Lytechinus pictus: one gene and its partner. The protein of the gene in region 1 interacts with the protein of each later gene in a pairwise test. Links are inferred from orthologs where the notes say so. Each region holds a gene or a part of one and is shown on either strand. Other genes may lie near its edges. The genes, in order: PIN2/TERF1-interacting telomerase inhibitor 1-like; axin interactor, dorsalization-associated protein-like.

What was found.
Region 2: the proteins of PIN2/TERF1-interacting telomerase inhibitor 1-like (region 1) and axin interactor, dorsalization-associated protein-like interact in binary tests that used the Homo sapiens proteins (3 or more experiments, as listed by UniProt). The link is inferred for Lytechinus pictus from reciprocal best matches to the Homo sapiens genes PINX1 and AIDA.

The regions. Positions count from the first base shown.
Region 1 is NC_087250.1:7,514,278-7,518,207, forward strand, and holds the start of PIN2/TERF1-interacting telomerase inhibitor 1-like, read right to left. Parts: upstream 2,178-3,930; 5' UTR 2,124-2,177; intron 368-2,123; 5' UTR 342-367; coding exon 245-341; intron 1-244. UniProt on the Homo sapiens protein: Microtubule-binding protein essential for faithful chromosome segregation. Mediates TRF1 and TERT accumulation in nucleolus and enhances TRF1 binding to telomeres. Inhibits telomerase activity. May inhibit cell proliferation and act as tumor suppressor.
Region 2 is NC_087251.1:28,246,652-28,250,581, forward strand, and holds the start of axin interactor, dorsalization-associated protein-like, read left to right. Parts: upstream 1-1,539; 5' UTR 1,540-1,654; intron 1,655-3,930. UniProt on the Homo sapiens protein: Acts as a ventralizing factor during embryogenesis. Inhibits axin-mediated JNK activation by binding axin and disrupting axin homodimerization. This in turn antagonizes a Wnt/beta-catenin-independent dorsalization pathway activated by AXIN/JNK-signaling.

The DNA of each region.
Region 1 (3,930 bases):
ATGATGATGATGATAATGATGATGCTAGTGATGAACGTTATGATGATAATGAAAATGATGATGATGATATAGTGTTGTACAAATGCACAGGTCCTTAACACGACATATATTTCTAATATGATTTTTAGATTTATTAACTTCGTTTTCCTGGTCACACATGTGTAAAGCATTATAGCTGAATACCCCCCCCCCCCCTCCCCCCCCCCCACCACCCCCTCTCCTCTACTGGCCAGTGCAAACTCACCTAAGTTGTTATTCTTGAGAGAAACTTTGACGTGTGAGACGTTTCCATCCTCTTTGATCCCAAGACCTTTGCCCTTTGACCAACCCATCTTCTCCATCAACTTCTGACCAAACTTGGAGGAATCTGAATGAACAGAACATAAAGAGAGATGGAGAGAGAGTAGGGGGTGGGGGGAAAGAGCGGGGTGGAGAGAAGTGGGAGAGGGGAAGAAAGAGATTGGGAGATGGGGTTAGGGTGGGGTGGGAAGATGTGTGAAGGGAGAAAGAGAAAGAAAGAAAGATTGATTGGGAGAAGGGGTTGGGGTAGGGTTGGGGAGAAGTGGGAGAGAGGAGAAAAGAGAGAAAGATAAAGATTGGGAGAGGGGTTGGGTGCAGAGAAATGGGAGGGGAAAAGAAAGAAGGATAGATTGGGAGAGGGGTTGGGTGGGGATGTTAAGAAGTGGGAATTAAGGGAGAAAGATAAAGAGGGATAGATATATTGGGAGAAGGGGTTAGGGTGGGGGTGGGAAGTGGGAGGGGACAAAGATAGATTTGGAGTGGGGGTTGGGGTGGGGTGAGAAGTGGGAGGGGAGAAAGGGAAAGATATATTGAGGGGAGAGAGAGAGAGATAAACATTTAGAAAAATTATTCAAACCTAAGAAAAGGATTGGAAACCGTCCTTATGTAATTTAAATGGATACTTGTGGCTGCTCTTGCATACACGCTTAAACCTCTGTATTCAGATCCAGTTTGCTGATTTTAAGATGTTTGTACATGGAAACAAGATGGCGGCGTAAACATTGGGCAATTCTCTTCCGTCTTTTCATATTTTTCTCATTTTTTTTATGAATTCTTGTTTAAAAATAAAATCGATAGCGTAGAAATGTCGGAAATGAAGTTGTACCCCATGTACATGATAGGGCTAGATCTTTTTTCTAGAAGTAGAAATCTTGGGGGGGGGGGAAGTTTCAGGTGTTGGGGCGGTACGTGCAGATACATGTATGAATGGGAAGGAATTCCTGGCTTCGACCTTCGTTGAGAGTAAGCATAGGTTAGTAAATAATTTTTTTTTACTCTCTAGAACTAAACTCTAAAGCCTCCTCCTGCCTGGCCTGCATGGGCTGGCAATACTATTATTACTAACCCAGGGAGCTCCCGCCTGCTGCGCGGGCGGGAGCCCAGGGGCTTACCGTGTATTTGACCATAGTCACCGGACTAGGGTGATTTATGGTCTAAATATTTCTCTAAATGAATTGTGAAAACAGAAAGTATACAATTACCACGATTATATGGATGAAGGTCTAACGAGTGGCAGTTTCCTGACATCTGGGCACAGACTGGAACCTCAAAAAAACGAAAAGTTCTCTCCTTCTACCCAGTCTCGATCGGCCATTTTGTTACGATTTTTAACAAAAATGGCCGATCGAGACAGGGAAGAAGGAGAGAACTTTTCGTTTTTTGAGGTTCCAGTCTGTGCCCAGGCAGATGTCAGGAAACTGCCACTCGTTAGACCTTCATCAATATAATCGTGGTAGGCCTAATTGTATACTTTCTGTTTTCACAATTCATTTGGAGAAATATTTAGACCATAAATCACCCTAGTCCGGTGACTATGGTCAAATACACGGTAAGCCCCTGGGCTCCCTGGGGCTGGGTTATAATAGTGGCATGGCTACCTTTTTCTTGAAAATCTGTGTTTTTTATAAGAGTGCACGCGCGGCCCACGTCCAAAACTGAAAAAACACCACTTTTCCACGCGGTTTCTTTTTGTCACGCATGTGTACAGCAATTATATTTGACTGCCCCCTCCGGGATGTAATGTAGAGCTCTGACTCTGAGCTCAAGCCCAAGCCTTGGCCTCAGCTCCGCCAACGCAGCACCGCGAAGGCAGCGGAGCTTACCTGCTGCTTAGCCGAGTTCACATACACGCATTTTATCGTATTTACATGTATAGTCACGTATTGTATTACCGGACGCGCATATTACTGCATTCGAAAACAATTTTGTACCGTAAGACTTCCGCAATTCAATTTCACAGAGCAATACATAGAACAGGATTGCAAAAACAAGGCGAAAAAAATCCAACTTTTACCTTATTTATCTCTAAAATGACAGAAAATGCTTAAAATATCAAATAACATAGTTTTGCATTAACAATTGATATATTTTCTAACGGAAATATGGGTCTGATCTGCCGAATTTCAATTAATCTCGTCCGCTCCTTCGATCGAATGATGAGGTGTGGTGTATTGTGGGTGATCGTCGACGGCTAGTTCTCAAGGTACCCGTGCGCGAGGTTTACCGTGAGCACCGTGAGTATAGAGCCGTCGACGATCGGCAGCGCATCGATAGAACTTGATGAGCGTCACGATACGAACGAGCATAATATTGGAAAGTTCCATGAAACATGCAGCTAACAAGAAAAAATAAAATAAGTTATCAAACACGAATTTATTACCAACATCTGCTCAGAATCGATATAAAAACAGCAAACAAAAACTTAGAATTTACTCATGATATTATATAAGAAGAAAAAATCACACAAATTTGTTCTTACATCATTATAATCAAGAATATCTTTACCCGTCCGGCGCGCGTCCGGAATCATGATCAGTAGAGGCGCACGGCCAATATTGGAGACTGTCTCCAATGTGGGAGATTATCTCCAATATCAGAGACTTTTGTAAAGAATTTGGGTATCCAATTTCAGAGACAGTCTCCAGTTTTGGAGTCCAATTTCCTTTGTTTACATTTGCTGCAAAAGGATTACCTTGGCGGCAAATAAAAATGTGATAAGCAGATTCCTCATGAAAAATTACCCCTTTTCACCGTCTACTTTAAAAATTCACCGTCTACTTTTATTTTGATAAGGGATTTTGTTGTCAATCACACACAAAACAAATGGGCTTCTGACCTCAGTGAGACAAAATTTTGGGTGGAAAAAATCATACTTTTGTTGGTGTTGTTTCTTTTGTCCTTTTGCAAAGCAAGTCTCCAATGTGGGAGATTGTCTCCCCTATTGGAGAGAGTCTCCCATATTGGCCGTGCGCCTCTACTGTCTGATGATGTAATTTGTCACGCACGAAAATAACTGTTTTTCGTGGAGGGGTATGCGGCAAGTGCGATGCAAAGAAAATGGTTGGTAAATATAAAATAATTTTACCATATTCATAATTTTCATAATATTTGGAATAGCAAGTGCGATTTTTTCTTGATTGTATTTCCTCTAGTGGTCATTTTTAAAGCACTGAAATAAAGGTGTCCGGCAATAGGATACATAGACCAAAAGCTTCGGTCTCTATTATGTTGGTTGTTCAGCTGAACTCCGTTGGCTTCACTCACCAAATACAGAGACCGAAGTTCTAGCGCGATCTGTACAGGGGACTCAATGGCCATATGTTTATGTACTTAAGATCGGATAAAACGGGGAAGTGAATTTGCGCGACAGCCGAGGTAAGTCACTGTTTTTGTTCCTTTTAACTTGATTTTTCTCCGTTTTTTGGCAATTAATGCCAAGAGGGAATATTAATTTGCATTTTGGTCGCGTTAATTTTCAAAATTTTTTTTCATTAAAGACAAAAATTGAAGAGCCCCGACGGGGGATTTTGCATTGCAAGTCCCCTAATGGTGGCTGCACGCTAGCGAGCACGTCCCGTTAAAGACAGCACGTTAGCCATTCTCTGATTGGTCAATTAAGGAAGTCCGATA
Region 2 (3,930 bases), on another chromosome or scaffold:
CTGAAAGTGATAAGTACTTAGTTGTCTAAACTCCAAAAGCTCCAGAACGCTGCAGCACGTTTGGTCACCCTATCTAAAAAGTATGTTCACATCACACCCATTCTAAAAAATATCTTCATTGGTTAAAGGTCAACGATCGCATCATCTTCAAAATCCTTCTCCTTGTTTTCCACGCAATTAATGGCTCTGCTCCACAGTACAATATTAATCTAATCAGCAAATACAGCCCGGTCACACGTTCATCCAACTCTGGTTCCCTAGTTATTCCTAAATCCGTTAAAGTAGAACTATATTGAAAATCGTAAAAATGGGGAATCATATATCAAATTAAAGGAGAAAATAAGGAGAACACGATGGTGTAAATCATTTATCATGGAGACCGATGGAACTCAGTTAATTGATAGTTTAAAGTTCTCTCTCTGAATGCTTCAAACACGCAGAATTACGTCCGCGAAATTGGGGATTTTTTATGACGTCACTTTCTGTACGAGAGGCGTGATTGGCTCTCCAACGTGAAGCTCCACTTGCATGCAAAACCTGTTGCGAGGGTACGTTTTCTCCACATTGTCACTGAATACTTTGAGCCCGAAATGAAAGAAAACCCAGAATTTTATCTAGATTTGGATTTTCAAATTGATGATTATGAATTAAGATGAAGAGAATGATGATGAAGTTTCTAGCTCTAGAAAAACAAAGTGACGTGGATAGAGGTATACATTAGGGGAATTACGCCGGTGATTATGAGTCGGACAATTCAACTTGCATATGCCGATTCGCTACCAACACATGCAGCTGATAGCTGCTCCGCGGGTCAAATCCATGAAAATGAATTCCATCACGACCACATCCAGACAGAGTCTCTTTCTTCTATCAACAACATAATGAGAATGAAAATAATGATATAACTGTACTTACAAACAAGTGAATATATCCGAACCTAGGCTGAAGGTAAATCAACTCAAGGAATAACAGCAGACGATATGCACCGACGATGAATTTCACGTGGCTGGGAGATTGTCACTCGTTCTGTTAGATAAAATTTCTATCTAATTATTTTGACTAAATTACGAAACTCGGAGAATTAGTATTCTACATAAAAATTAAGTAACACCTGGTACTATTTTTTGAATTACGATAAAACCTTTTTGAAGCAAAGAAAATGAGGTAAATTAAAATTAGATATAAAAGATCATCCGCCTAGCTCGCATTCGATTGTAAACAATCAGCAAGGCGAGCACATAGAGTTGGATAAAGCTACGCTCCAACTCTATGGGCGAGCAAGCCACTGAACTGAAAATACGTATTTTCAGTTCAGTGGAGCAAGCTGGCCATGTGCTTTTGATTGTTTGTTTACAATCGCATGCGGCTAAGTGGATGATCCTTTATATCTTATTTTAATTTACCTCAATTTCTTTGCTTCAAAAATATTTTATCGTAATTCAAAAAATAGTACCAGGTGTTACTTAATTTTTATGTAGAATACTAATTCTCCGAATTTCGTAATTTAGTCAAAATAATGAGATATAAATTTTATCTAACAGAACGAGTGAACATCTATTCCAGCCACGTGAAATTCATCGTCGGTGCATATCGTCTGCTTCTATTCCTTGAGTTGATTTACCTTCAGCCTAGGTTCGGATATATTCACTTATTTGTAAGTACAGTTATTTTATTATTTTCCTTCTCATTATGTTGTTGATAGAGGAAAGAGACTCTGTCTGGATGTGGTCATGCTGCATGGAATTCATTTTCATGGATTTGACCCGCGGTCCCGCGGTGCAGCTAGCATGCAGCTGCATACGTACGTTGGTAGCGAATCGGCTTGCAAGTTGAATTGTCTTACTCATCATCACCGGCGTAATTCCCTTAATTTACCACCATCCACGTCACTTTGTTTTTCTAGAATTAGAAACTTTATCATCATTCTCTTCATCTTCATAATCATCAATTTGAAAATCCAAATCTAGATAAATTTCTGGGTTTTCTTTCATTTCATGATCGAAGTATTGGGAGTATTCAGTGTCAGTGTGGAGAAAACGTACCCTCGCAACAGGTTTTGCATGCAAGTGGAGCTTGACGTGGGAGAGCCAATCACGCCTCTCGTACAGACAGTGACGTCATCAAATTCGAGTCAATTCAGAGACCGATGCGAGGCATATTTCGGAGAGGCATTTTAGCGCTTTTTAATCGGCGATTTCCACCTTATGTATTATTTTCGTTATTTTTTAATGACCTAATGGTAATCCACACATCATTACCTTTCCACTGATATATAATAAGGCCATATTCATAATCAATATATTTCTCCTTTAAGACATGAGGGGTTCGGGCTTTTGCTCACGCTGGCCCTATTCTCTGGAATGATCTTCCCCTGACAATCCGTGAATGCACGTCCATTGACACATACCTTAAGACTCGTCTATTCAATGCCTCTTACTCTTAATTGTTCCTGAATCTATTACCATTGTATTTGTACTTTTTCTCTTTCGTTCTTTCTCTCTTCTTTCACTGCGCCTTGGGCACTCTGCCGAGTGGATTTGGCGCATTACAAATCACATATATTATTATTATTAGAAATCTGATGTTTATTCTTCCCCTAATGATCTTAGATAGACTACACAAATAAATTAGCAATGGAAATTGATAACTTTGCCGAGTCTCGGTTTTCATAAAATTTTGAATCTGTATTATTTGCAGAATGATCTGATGATTGTAGCGTTAAGACTCTACTATAATTTAATGATGATAATCAGGGATATGTGAAGGGAGATAATTTATGACAAAACTAATGACGTGATGCTCTCTATGTTTATTCTTAATACTCTCAGAAATTGTTTTAATCAACCCAAAAGTTGGTTAAAGTATCAAACGATCAACTGTTTTTTTCAATAATTCCAATTCATTATGGGATGCGATTTTGTTTTAACCAACCGTTGGTAGGTTCAATGAGAGGTTGGACAAAACATTTCTGACTGTACTTTTAAATTTGTCCCTCTCCCTCCCTCCCCTCAGTCACTCTCACTCTCTCCCTCCCTTCACATACACACACACCCACACGCATTCTTTCTCCTCTCTCTTCTTCTCGCCCTCTCCCTCCACACACACACACACACTTTCTGTATCCCCTCTCCCTCTCCCTATCCAGGTCCTGCTCTCTCTCTCTCTCATTTCACTTGCTATCTCACTCACACATCCCACACACCCACATAACACTCACTTTCAATATTTTCTCAAGTCCTTTTTTTTATCTGTCCTTTCCCCCTTTCCTGTATGAATAAAAGTGGAAACAGGAAAATCGAGCTAAGTAAATTCCACAGCGGAAATAGGGATAGTTGTATTGTAAAGGAAAATGTGGTATTCTGATAGCCAAGGTTAAAGGTCAAGTCCACTTCAGAAAATTGCTGATATGAATAAATAGAGAAAAATCCAACGAGCATAACCCTGAAAATTCCATCAAAATCGGATGTAAAATAAGAAAGTTATGACATTTAGAACTGTCACAAAACAAGGATATGCACTACTCAGTGACATGCAAATGAGACAGACAATGATGCCCCTCATTCACAATTTATTTTGTCTTTTATTGTTTGAATTCAACATATTTAAATTTTTACAGATTTGACAATAAGGACCAACTTTACTGAACCGTAAAATGGTAATTCCACGTGTTCAGGGAGGAATAAAACTTTGTTTCACAGGACAAAGAGGAGAAAATTAAAATGCTTATTTCATATAATAAACTACAAAAGAAATAGGGAGTGAATTATGTCATCAGTCCCCTCATTTGCATACCGACCAGGATGTGCATATAACTGTTTTGTGAAACTAGGTGACACTTTAAAATGTCGTAAATTTCTTATTTTATATCCAATTTCGATGAAATTTTCAGTGTCACACTTGTTGGATATTTCTGTTTACTCAAATTAACTT